Caenorhabditis elegans: one gene and its partner. The protein of the gene in region 2 purifies or fractionates together with the protein of the main gene of each other region. This does not show direct contact. Each region holds a gene or a part of one and is shown on either strand. Other genes may lie near its edges. The genes, in order: trm-2A and spe-54.

Region 1 (8,284 bases), on a different chromosome or scaffold from region 2:
TTGATTTACGAGCTCGATTTTTGAAAAGTGACAGCGATATTACATTTAACTGTGTTTCTTAAAGGAGGGCGCATTTATGAGAAAGGGTCTCGCCACGCGCCATTCATTGATTTTTGGAGTGCGTGGCGGGACCATTTCGAAAAAATGCGCCCTCCTTTAAGGTCGTACGAGTGAAGAAAAAATGCACTGTAATTTCAAATTTAAAAAAAATTATTGATAAATAAACTTAAAACAAGTAAAAAAGTGAGCCCGTAAATTGACACAAGCGCTACAGTAGGAATTTAAAGGATTACTGTAGTTTTCGCTACGAGATATTTTGCGCGTCAATTATGTTGTCTAATACGCATTCTCAAAATGTAGTGTTTTATCTATTTTTCTCTTCAAAATGAAGTTTTATATTCAGATTTTCACATTTTTAGGCAAAATTTCAAGAAATTTTTCATTTTTATCACAAGAAAAAAACGGTTAGGGTATAAAATTGGTATTGCCTCGCACTTCTAAAAGAGAACCCACATACCTGATAGACGGGAGCCCGGAGGCTCCGGCACCGACCACAAGAAGTTGTTTTTTGGCTACCATTGTCGAAAAAAAAATCGTTACGATTTGATAACAAAACTGTCTTTTCCCAACGTATTTATAGTGCGGTGGGGTGATCAATTTGGGTAGACTGGCTATAACGAGAGATATGGAGTCTGGTGAGAGACGCAGACAGCGAGGGACTACTCGTGTGGTGAACGTGTTTGATCATGGTGCATCAGACTAGAAAAAGGTTGTCTCGTGAACCTTTTTTAACCTTTATGGCTAGAATTTAGTTCAGTCACATTTTAAAAAAGCAAAAGTGTAATTTCATGGTCTCACAGCGATTGAGATATTAGTGTGAAAATTATTTTTAATGATTTTTTTCCCATTTTTCTTTTCTATTCAATCAATAATGACTATTTTTAACAACCAATTCTGCTCAAAAACTAGGCGATTTTTACTTTCTCAGGCCACCTGCGCCACAGCGCCTTTGAAACGGATTTCGATTTTAATTACTACAGTAATCTCTCATTGGAGCGCGCTTGCAAAATTTGCAGTTCTTTTAATTTTTATACCAATTGATTTGATGAAGTTGGCTCAGAAACAGAAGATGAAAAAATGGTTTTTAGAAGAAAAACAGTAAATAATATTTTCAGCGATAAAATTGGTGACAAAATTTAATTGTAAAGTTTGAAAATATTGAATTTTACGTGAATTCTCCTGTTGTGCTGAAAATACATCCTTGCGGGACAGATCAATGGAAAAAAGTGGTTAACATTTTGTTTATATTCAAATTTTAGACTAACCTAGGCTGACCTAGCCTACCCCAGGCTGACCTAGCCTACCCCAGGCTGACCTAGCCTACCCCAGGCTGACCTAGCCTACCCCAGGCAGGCCTATCCTACCCCAGGCAGGCCTAACCTACCCCAGGCAGACCTAGTCTACCCTAGGCAACCTACCCCAGGCAGGCCTAACCTACCCCAGGCAGGCCTAACCTACCATAGGCAGACCTAGTCTACCATAGGCAGACCTAGTCTACCATAGGCAGACCTAGTCCACCCTGGGCAGACCTAGTCTACCCTAGGCAGACCTAGTCCACCCTGGGCAGACCAATTTTCAATTCCGGCAATTTTCCGGTTTGCCGATTTGCCGGAAATTTCCAATTTCATCGACATTCTGAAGTAATATAGCTTAAACTCCACCAATACTGTTTATTTTATATCAGTTTTGCGTTCAAATTGTATCGAAAAAACTCCTTTTTAAACACCCTCCGTTTTAATTCTCAATAGAGCGCGCTTGCCGAAGAGGCGGTGTACTCCTCTCGGACACCTGCGATAATTGTTGTTTTTGATTTATATTCTAGATTTTCCCCGAAAAATTCCGGTTTTCCTTCTTTTTGAATGGTTTTTTACACTAAAAGTCGCATAAAAAAGCTTTAAAACCTTTAAAAATCGATAAATAATCAAGTTTTCCAGGTAAAATGGCGGATCCGGTCGATATTAAGACGGAAACTCCGGAGTTAACTCCAGAAGTCAAAGAAGAAAAGGCAATCGATTTGGATCGGATTCATATTAAGAATATCCCAACATTTATCGGATTCAAGCAGTTCAAGAAAGTATTGGAAAAGTGGGATTTTTTTTCGATTTTTTAATTAAAAAATTGATTTTTTAATTAAAAAAATTGATTTTTTTTCCTTTTTCCAGAATCCTCGGCGACGTAAAATCGAAAAAAGTGCGCCATATGTCAGATTACGCCTATGTGACGTTCGAAACCCCAGAGGACGCCCAAAAAGCTATAAATCTAGTCGATGGCTATGACTACAAGAAATTCATACTGTCAGCGCAGCTAGCAGCCACAGAAGTCAAATCTTTCCGTCCGGCTAACCCGGAAAATACCGAGCCAGCTCAGCAGAAAACCGCCCGTGAAAGTGTAACTCCGCTCGCCGAGATGGAATACGGGAAGCAGTTGGAGTTGAAGCAGCAGAATAGTGTGGGCGTCGTTGAAAAGTTGTACCGGCAGCTAATTCAGAATAAAGTTGCACATTTGGGCAAACAGACTCAATTCCGAGATCGTGTTCTTCGGGAAATTCTCCCCGCACCGAAAACCGCCGGTTATCGAAATAAATGTGAATTTACAATTGGTCACGATTTGAATGGAGAAATTTGCGTGGGATTCGTCGGCGGAAGATTCTCGAAAAATCAGCATTTTGTGATACCGCCCGTCGACGTGGATATTGTCAGCACACAGATGATGGCGATCGTTGGGGATGTGCATGAATTTGTGAAAGAATCGGCGTTGGAGCCATTTAATGAGTTTGATAGGAAAGGATTCTGGCGGATGCTGACGATTCGGGAATTTGGAGGAGATGTTATGCTGATTTTTACGGTTTTTCCGCTGGAGGATGGCGTGGAGAGGATGGAAGAGATTCAGAAGAAGATTGAGACGAGATTTTTGGATTTTGAGTGCGATTTTCTCATTTTTTAGGAAAATTTCCAATTTTTCAGAAGAAAAATGACCAAAATTGAAAATTTTATGTTTGAAACAAAAAAAAATCGATTTTTTCGTCAAACGCACAAAATTTCTCATTTCATTGATATAAAAATGTGGAAAAAAGTGCGTTCTAACTGAAAATAACATTTATTTCTGTTAAAAAACTTATAAATGCCTCAAATAGTCTATTTTTGGTCTTTTCAAGCTTTTCAACAAAAATAAATGCTATTTTCAGTTAGAATGGACCATTTTCTATGTTTTTATATGAATTTTTGAAGAACTTTTAAGTTTCTGAAAATTCCCGGAAAAAATATTTGAAAATCTTCTTACAAACTTTTTTTTTGCAACTTTTTCACGGAAAATATGCAAATTTACCATAAAATTCAATTTTTATCAACCAAAAGTTTGAAATATGTTTCAAAAAATCGAAATTTTTTGTTTTTTCCAACAAAAATTTGTAATTTTTGCAGAAAAAAAAACAGAAAATTTAACAAAAAATTGCTTTGGAAAAAACCGAAAATTTCAGAAAAAAAACCGTCTATTACAGGATCACAAAATTCTGAAAATGCGTACTGGGCAACATATTTGACGCGCAAAATATCTCGAAGCGAAAACTACATTAATCTTTTTAAGGACTACTGTAGCGCTTGTGTCGATTTACGGGCTCGATTTTCGAAAATATTTTCTTGTGAGTTTTGACGAATATTTAAAAAAAAAGTGAAAATCGCTAAGAAAACGGTTTCGAAAATCGAGCCCGTAAATCGACACAAGCACTACAGTAGTCATTTAAAAGATTACTGTAGTTTTCGCTACGAGATATTTTGCGCGTCAAATATGTTGCAAAATACGCATTCTCAGAATTTTTGTGTTTCCGTGTTCAAATGGATCAGGTTTGTAACGACATTTTCAAATAATTTTTCGGGAATTTTCTGAAATTTATAAATTCTCTCAAAACTCATATAAAAATGTAGAAAAAGGTTCGTTTCAACTGAAAATATTATTAATTTTCGTTGAAAAGCTTGAAAAATGCCTCAAATAGCCTATTTGTGGTTTTTTTAAAGCTTTCACACAAAAATTAATGTTATTTTCAGTTGGAACGAACCTTCTTCTGCCTTTTTATATGAGTTTGAAGATAATTTTTGAATTTCAGAAAATTCTCGAAAAATTATTGGAAAATCTGCTTACAAACCTGGTTCGATTTAACACAAAACCAAAAAATTATGAAAGTGCGTACTGGGCAACATATTTGACGCGCAAAATATCTCGTAGCGAAAACTACAGTAATCCGTTAAATGACTACTGTAGCGTTTGTGTCGATTTACGGGCTCGATTTCCGAATTGTTTTTTTTTTTCGAAAGTCAAGCCCGTTAATCGACACAAGCGCTACAGTAGTCGTTTAACGGATTACTGTATTCTTCGCTACGAGACCCTATTTTGCGCGTCAAATGTGTTGTGCAATACGCATTCTCAGAATTTTTGTGCTCCCGTAATACAATCAAAAACCCCATACCTTAAAATTTTTCAGAACATTCAAGGAGAAAAAGTACCGAGTGTGTAGTATCTATTGGCAACAAATGGTTCATATCAGTGATACACCGAACTTCAAGCTGATCGGTGGAACTCCGTACATTTATGAATCTCTGTTGGACTGCCGATTCCGAGTATCACCGCCAGCGTTTTTCCAGACGAATAGCCAGGCGGCGGCGGTTCTCTACTCGACGATTGGAGAGCATTGTGGGCTCAGTGAAAAGGTTCTTGAAGAATCTGCGATTTTATTATTGAAAAGCGCATTAAAAATGCCGAGAAAACGCGCTCCACGGCCAATTGAATACGCCCCGCCCCCAAGCCAAGGGTCTCGTTAGGTTTTCAGTGATTTTCGCTGTTTATTTGGTGTTTTAAATGAATTTTGTGTCAAAAATAATGAAATCAATTTTTTAACAGGATTTTACATGATTTCCACCTAGAAATTATTATTTTTAATGATTTTCTGCAGAAAATAATAATTTTTACTAAAAATCAATATTTTTCTATGATTTTTACCCAAAAAATCAGGTTTTTTTCTATTAATTTTGCCTAAAAATCATTATTTTAAATTTTTTCCCCAGAAAAGCTTTTCTTTCCATAAAACCAGAATTATTCTATGATTTTCACCCATAGAATCAGTATTTTTAACTAAAATCAGAATTTAAACATTTAGGATTCCCCGATGATTTCTACCCGAAAAATCAATATTTTTCAATAATTTTTACCCGAAAAATCAGGTTTTTTAATGTTTTTCCCAGAAAATCATAATTTTTACCTGAAAACTAGGATTTTTGATGATTTTCACTCAAAAATCAGCATCTTCATTAATTTCATCAATTTCAGCAAAAAAATCATTAAAAACCACTGAAAAAATGACAAAAAATGCTTGAAAATTGGCGAAAATTTCCGGTTTTCCCGCCAAAAAAATCAAAATATTGATTTTTAGTAAAAATTATTATTTTCTGCAGAAAATCATCAAAAATAATAATTTTAGGTGGAAATCATGTAAAATCCTGTTGAAAAATTGATTTCATTATTTTTGACACAAAAATAATTTAAAACATTAAATAAATAACGAAAATCACTGAAAACCTAACGAGACCCATGGCTTGGGGGCGGAGCTTTTTCAATTCGCTGTGGAGCGCGTTCACACGCCGAATTTTGAAAAATGCTCAAAAATTTCAATTGTTTCTTAATTTTTGACTGAAAATCTGCAAAATCGATGAAATAAAAAGTGAAAATAGTTTTTTTTCTCCAGAAAACCAACGAAGATGTTCCAGTGGAAACTGATGCATCGGAAAAAGCCCCAGAAGCTCCAGCAGCACCTTCAGAGCCCATCCCCGACGATCCATCCGATGCTCCTCCGGCAAAGATCCCGAGAATCGAGCCGGAGCCCACTGCAGCAGATGAAGCACCTGCTCCAGAAGATCCCGGAACCATCCTTCTTGACATTTGCTGTGGAACCGGAACGATCGGTCAATGCCTTCTGAAAAATATTCAAAAATCGCAAAAAGTGTGCTGCATCGGAATTGAAATGATCGCCGAAGCGGTGGAGGACGCCAAACAAAATGCGAAACAGAATAAAATGGAAACATGCTGTAAATATATTGCTGGAAAAGCCGAGGACACATTCCGATCGATGAGATATCATCTGCCGAATGGTTTTGATCTACGAAAATCGAGAGTGGTCGGAGTGCTCGATCCACCGAGAGCCGGAATGCACGAGAAGGTTATTCTCGCGTGTAGAGAGGTTCGAATATTTGGATTTTAGAAATTCCAAAAATTACCTTTAAAACTTGTAGATTTACGCGTAAATTTTTTTAAAAATAGGAATCGAGGGTGTTCGTTTTTCGATTTTTTAAAAAATTATTTTATCGTTGTTTCGATTTATCAAAAATTAGCTTAACATTTTGGCTATTATTCTTCTTTTTAGAAGAAATTGTTATGTTTTTTCTTACCAATATAATCAATTTTTTTAAATCATAGTTTATGGTTAATTTTCTGAACATTTTTTTCGATTTTTCAATTTTCACTGAAAAACATCAACAAATCTTTAAAAAATGCCGCTTTTGATAGGAATATATTATTCAGACGCGAAATTTCGGGGTTTTCGCGACTTCCCGGTCTCGACACGACAAATTTTTGCGTGCGCCTTTAAAGGTGGTGTACCGAAATCTGAAAAAAAATTTCAAATGACTCCAAATTTTCACCTGATTCCGAATAATTATGTTAAAAAATCCGAAAAAAATTTCCCAGATGTTATATTACCGCTTGAAATCGAGAATTTTCGCGCCAGAGACGCCATATGTCGATTTACGAGATTTGTGTATATTTACGAAATGTTTATTTTATATCGGATGCTGTTTTTCGTTTTTCAATGAGTTTTCTTCGTTTTCGGCGGTTTTTTGTTTGGAAATGTATGTTTTAAGGTCAATTGAACATTCTTTTTAATCAAAAAATTAGAACATTTTCCATAAAAAATTTTTGCTCGTTTTTTTGATACGAAAATGTTTAATTGACCTGAAGAAACACATTTTCGAAAAAAAAACCGCCGAAAATTAAGGAAATTCATTGAAAAAAAAGGAAATCAGCATCGGATAAAGATTAAACATTTCGTAAATATACACAAATCTCGTAAATCGACACGTGACGTCTCTGGCGCAAAAATTCTCGATTTCAAGCTGAAATATAAAATCTGGGAAATTTTTTTTTTTAATTTTTTAATCATAAATATTCGTAATCAGTGGAAAATTTGAAATCTGAAAATATTTTGATAATATTTTCCAGATTTCAGTACCAAGGGTGTCAGTTTATCGAATAAGAAAAAGTTGAAAAACGAAAATTTTTCGATTTTCAAAAATTAGCTTAAAAATTTGTTTAAAAGTTTTTTCGATTTTCCCACGTGGGGTGTCAGAGTGTCCCACATCGGTGTGATCTACAAGAAATGCGGGAATTCCGACGCGCTGACTTCTCAACACATTTCTTATGGTTAAGAGCGAGATGACGTCACATTTTTCTGAGAAAAAATTCCCGCATTTTTTGTAGATCACACCGATATGGGACACTCTGGCACCACGTGCTTTTCGGTTTTTCGAAAGAAAAAACCGGCAGTCCTGGCCTGTAACACCTGAAAACGGTTTTTTTTGCTCCAGATGGAAACAATGCGTCGTCTGATCTTTGTCTCGTGTGAACCAAACGCCGCCATCTCCAACATCGTGAATCTGTGCCGTCCGTCGTAAGTGTATTGCACACACCTAGCACAGTCTTATCTCACTACAATCTAAATGTGATAAGACTGTGTGTTTTTCTCTCCGTCTCCCTATCTCTCTCTCTCTCTCTCTCTCTCTCTCTCTCTCTCTCTCTCTCTAAAACCAATTCATTTATAGGTCTCGAAAATACACTGGAGACGCGTTTTCGGTGACCCGTGTGCAGCCGGTCGACATGTTCCCGCAGACGAATCATATGGAGTGGATTATTCAATTGGATCGTTAATTTTTGCAATTTTATTGTTGTTTTTTTTTCGTTGTTAAATTTTATATTATAGAAGCGCAGAAAAATGCCTTTTTTTTGAAGTTGGCGAGGAAACGCGCTCCACGGAGAACGGGTCTTGTTGGGTATTTTTCGTTGTTTTCTTGATTTCTATGCCAAAATTGATGTAAAAATTGATTTTCAACCGAAAATTAATTTTCAAAACTCCATTTCGACCTGAAAATCATGATTTTCAGGTCGAAATGGGGTTTTAAAAATTAAT
Region 2 (4,572 bases):
ATTGTCGTTCTCATCGTCGGCGGAGCCACTGTAGTCTTCATCGTTGAAGGTGCTATAGTCTTCTTCGTTGATACAGGGGTCGGCATTCTTCAGCTAGTTCTTCTTCTATTTTGTTATAAATCCTTTGCAAATTCCGATGAAATATTCTTCGACTGCGAAATAAAATAATGATCAACTTTGATTAAAAGTAAGTTCCAGTTTTTTTTTTCAATTTTGCAGCATTTTTTTCACGAAAGGTCTAAATATGGCACGAAAAGTCCACGTTCAATGGAAATCTATAATTTCAATTTGAACAAGTCCACGTAAATTGTGTATATTTAAATATCCAGTGTTTCTTTTTTTTGTGTAACTTTTCAAATAGTAAGCCTATTAATGAAGCGATTTTGCGAAAAATATATAATGATAAACAATGCGTGGTAGGGAGGCAGGCATAAAGCAGGTTGATATACTGCCTACCTAATTGTGTACTTTTATCCACTTCAACTACTTTTGAATAAACAAAAAGTGAAGCATGCAAAGCTTTATTCGTTTCATTCAACCCATAAAAAGTATGCAATTGTCTATTTCTTCTTGTATCTATTGCACAATTCAATAAGTGAGTTAATTCCAAGATCGTAGCTGTCGAATGTATCAAACGTATTGCTTCTCATGAAACTGAAAAGATTTCAGATTAGAATAATTATAAATAGTGAAAAGGGGAACGTACCGAATTTGTTTGATAGTGTCAGTGTGCTTGGCCTTCCCGTGTTTCATCAAACGATCCGCTTCCGTATCGATAAAAGCCACTAAACCGCTTCTAAAAAGAAAGGGTAATTCGCTTAACAATAACGATAAACTATTTTTAATATTGGAAAAAATCATACTTTGCAGCTCCATCTTTGCACACAATAACCAAAGGACCCTTCAATGGGCATCCCAAATACTTTCGACTTTTCTCCAACATATCATTGATTTCAATTGCCGAAAGTGGTTCAGCCCAACGACAAAACTTGATTGCTTTCAAATGCAGACCGTTTTCCTTGATGACGGCAGTTGACACGAAATCATTTTTCCCTGTTCCTTTTTCAAATTTTGCCGTTATTGCACTGAAAATGTACTTTTGAAATAACTTAATTCTCTGAATAAGATCAATTGCTATGAATCAAAGCTCGTACCTTGAAAACTCGTCCGCTCCTTCAGCAACAATAAGACCTTCAGCCTTCACGTGCTCCAAAAGTTTAAAAAAGTCCTTGGCTGCGCTGGCATCACGTGGAGCTTGAGCAAGAATGTATTGATCTGAATTTTCAAAATTAATTTCAAAATAATAAATGATATTCATACTTGGCTTAAGCCCATCAACCCAAGAAGCATGGTAGTAGTCCACACCAGGAACAATGACACGGGTGGCGTCGTAAAGCCAGACATCTAAAATGTTTATGATACTTTTGAAGCCAAAAGTCTTTTAAAGGTGGAGTAGTACAGGTGAAGAATTGCGAATGGCTTAAATAGACATTTAGTTCTTTCAATCTATTTTGAGTCACACTAGCGCAACTTCACCTACAATATTCAAAACTTTTTAGTTGTTGAACTCACTTTCGGAAAAATTCTTATCTTTCGGTGACTTAAAATAGTTGAAAAAGGTTGGAGATTCCAAATATGTTTCCTTGTAAAACTCTGCAACTCCAGCTTCAAAACTTTTCGAGTTCGTTTTGGAATTAATCTGAAAGTTTGAAGTTTTCATATTTTATTAAACCTGATCAATAAGTTTCCTGTATAAAAGAAAGCAAGCGCTAACTTTAATTAAAATTAAACATTGTAAACTTACAAAATCGCAAAACTTTTTTGGGGAAAGCATCGTCGTCTTTTTTTTACGAGTGGAACGGGTTGAAGCACGATTATTGACGGCAGCTAAGAGACTTGCACGACCATTTGTTTGAACAGTATCCGCCATTTTCTGAAAAAAAGAAGTGATATGAACAAATTGGATTTTTCTGATTCCGAATAAATCACTAAAACGAGAAAGGCGTGTAATCCGTCATGCACAAAACTAGGAACATTAGTGGCCCTGTAGACAAACATGCACTAGTAGGCATAACGTATGCAGGCGTGTAGGCAGAAATAAGACAAGACCGTTGGCAAGTAGGTGGACCACTAGCAAACAGGTATTACTCATGCAATGGATTATGTGGTAGGAAGTAAATATAAATAAAATTCTAACGAAACTGAAGAAGAACGCTTTTTTTAAAATTATAATCCCACTGTGATAAGATAACTTACTGACAAATTTGAACCTCTCGATTCTTTGCTTCCACGACACAATAGTTTTTGTTTAGGTAATAAATTGAATTCTTATTTTTTTATTTTTCTAGGCATCGTTGTTTTTCTTCTGTCCCCATGCCCTGCCCCTGAACTTTGTAATAGTTTCTGCCGTTAAAAATAATGTTTATATTTCCAACTATTTTTTGAATTATCAAAACTTACTTGCTTATATTATAAACTTATAAGTTTTCACGTTTTATAAACTAATATATATTTTCAACTGATGTGAATCAATATATTTTGCTCATCAAAAGATGTTAGCCGACATGTTTGTTTTCATTTTCTACAACTTTTATAGTTTCAAATTTTAGAGTTTAATTTTAATGCAGGCTTCTTTTTGGTATTTGCCACCGATCTTTAATTTGATTTGAAAAAAACTGTCAACCTTATCATATAACTTTTTCCGTTGAAAAAAGGAGAAAATCACGAGAAATTCACGAGAAGAGATGAAACAAAAAAGTGAATGAATCAGGTGACACCTTCTGAACTTTTTGTCTTTTTTCAATTTTTCATTGTGGTACAACAAAAAAAGGAAATAAAAAAGAACAAAATTTGAATTCTTATCTTATCTTATCACTTATCATATCAATTTGCCAAAGTTTTGGGAACGAGACAGTGGGTTTCTAGGCCAAAGATGATGGTTCTAGGCTTTGAAATTTTCTGTAGGTTTTTACATTGAAATCATAGTCCTACAAAAAATGTCAGAGACTTCACTGTTTCAGAAACAGTGCGATTAAATTTTAAGGTGGTTAAATTTGAATGAAACTAGAGAAAAAACGCAGTTTATAGGAAATCAATTATTTTAAGCATACTTTTTAAGAAAGGATTTCGGTTGTGACTTTTACAAATTCTGTATTATGATTGTTTTTTATTTATTGCCCCTTCGTTTACTCTACGCCCGCAGTTTTTGCTGACCGGTATCTTGTCTAAACGAAATATTTAAAGTTTTTTTCTGTTTCATTTTAAGTTTTCACTTTGTTGGGAGACGTTTTGCAGACGAGCGGACGAGGGAAGAGTCAAGAGTGGTCCTCTCCTGATATTCTAAGTCTTCTGTAGAACGTAAATAAATTCAATTTAATTCAAAATATTAAGAAAACTTGGTTGTAAATAGATAGCAATTCATTTTTGACAAATCTATCACCGTTTGTCACCATTTGCAAGTCACAGTGTGCGTTATGTCCGTTGGTGATATGATCAGCGTGTATTTGTCATGGTTAACATGAGAATTCTGAACCACTTTGTTGCTTCAAACCCAGTTAAGTTCCTTATTAATTTGATGTTATTGAAACATTTGTCATATTTTCAGTTAACAGTTGAATTTCAAATCCCCGGTGTTTTTTTAAGATTTTTTGCAAAATAATTTTTTTTAAGTTTCAAAAAAATGGAAAAAGCCACAGCAATCTAAAATTTTCTGATTTTTGAAGATAAAAGTTGCTTCAAGCTTCATAAAATTAATTTATTTTCATGGAATGCTTCATACAATTAAATCACATATATTTAGAAATTGAAAGAGTGAGATTGATTTGAATTTAAAGCCCGTAATTCGATTGAGATGATTGATATGGCAGAATAATTTGCAGAATCCTTTTTAAAATTGATAATTTGAATATGATACGTTGACACCAACAGAACTGACTGTTTCCCATGAATCAAATGAATTTCCAGTCCATTGTTTTTCAGCTTCTTCGGCTTCTGCTTTGAGAATCTCCTCGAATGGTTCATCAAATTCTTCAAGTGAGATTATTTCTAGCTTTCCAGACATTTTTGAAATTATAGAGTTGATTTGAAATTGCTGAAAATAGATTCAGTTAGAAAATTTGTACCAAGAAAGTTAAAGAACAAGAAATGAAAAGTTTGGGAAAATTGAAGAATGAAAGAAGAAACGAGAATATGAAGAACAAGAACGATTTCAAGTTTCTTGGAAACGAAAAAAAAATTGTCAAACTTTGTTTTATTCTTGTACAAAATCATAAGATTCACATTTTTTGCCCCATTCCCTTTTCATTTTATACCCCCATTCTCTTCTCTTCCGACCCACCTCCTTCGTCCACTGATAACAGATCATATGGACAGATTTCATCATTTTTCGGAAATCTTTGGTGCGATTTATGTACTTTTTTCCCGCGGTTTGAATTGACCATGTAGTTTGGATTATTTTTTTTGTATATCAAATTTTGGTTTTTGAGTTTATGAGTTCAACATTTTCAGATTCTATACTAATATACGACACTTTCTAAAATTTTATTTCGCTTACTTACTTTTGTAAATTTGTAC

Evidence for each region.
Region 1: the proteins of spe-54 (region 2) and trm-2A fractionate together in Caenorhabditis elegans (co-fractionation; one large-scale study listed by BioGRID). This does not show direct contact.

What each region holds. Positions count from the first base shown.
Region 1 is NC_003283.11:902,969-911,252, forward strand, and holds the start of trm-2A (tRNA (uracil(54)-C(5))-methyltransferase), read left to right. Parts: upstream 1-1,994; 5' UTR 1,995-1,999; coding exon 2,000-2,145; intron 2,146-2,222; coding exon 2,223-2,981; intron 2,982-4,534; coding exon 4,535-4,760; intron 4,761-5,791; coding exon 5,792-6,283; intron 6,284-7,685; coding exon 7,686-7,768; intron 7,769-7,919; coding exon 7,920-8,025; 3' UTR 8,026-8,284. Other genes in the region: fmo-5 (Flavin-containing monooxygenase), read right to left, coding at 518-579.
Region 2 is NC_003279.8:8,867,465-8,872,036, reverse strand, and holds spe-54 (Tyrosine-protein phosphatase domain-containing protein), read right to left. Parts: upstream 2,323-4,572; 5' UTR 2,257-2,322; intron 1,934-2,256; 5' UTR 1,931-1,933; coding exon 1,805-1,930; intron 1,700-1,804; coding exon 1,573-1,699; intron 1,405-1,572; coding exon 1,321-1,404; intron 1,276-1,320; coding exon 1,155-1,275; intron 1,086-1,154; coding exon 864-1,085; intron 797-863; coding exon 707-796; intron 655-706; coding exon 561-654; 3' UTR 506-560; downstream 1-505. Other genes in the region: snf-2 (Transporter), read right to left, coding at 1-86; F55H12.2 (uncharacterized protein), read right to left, coding at 3,796-3,882, 3,935-4,060.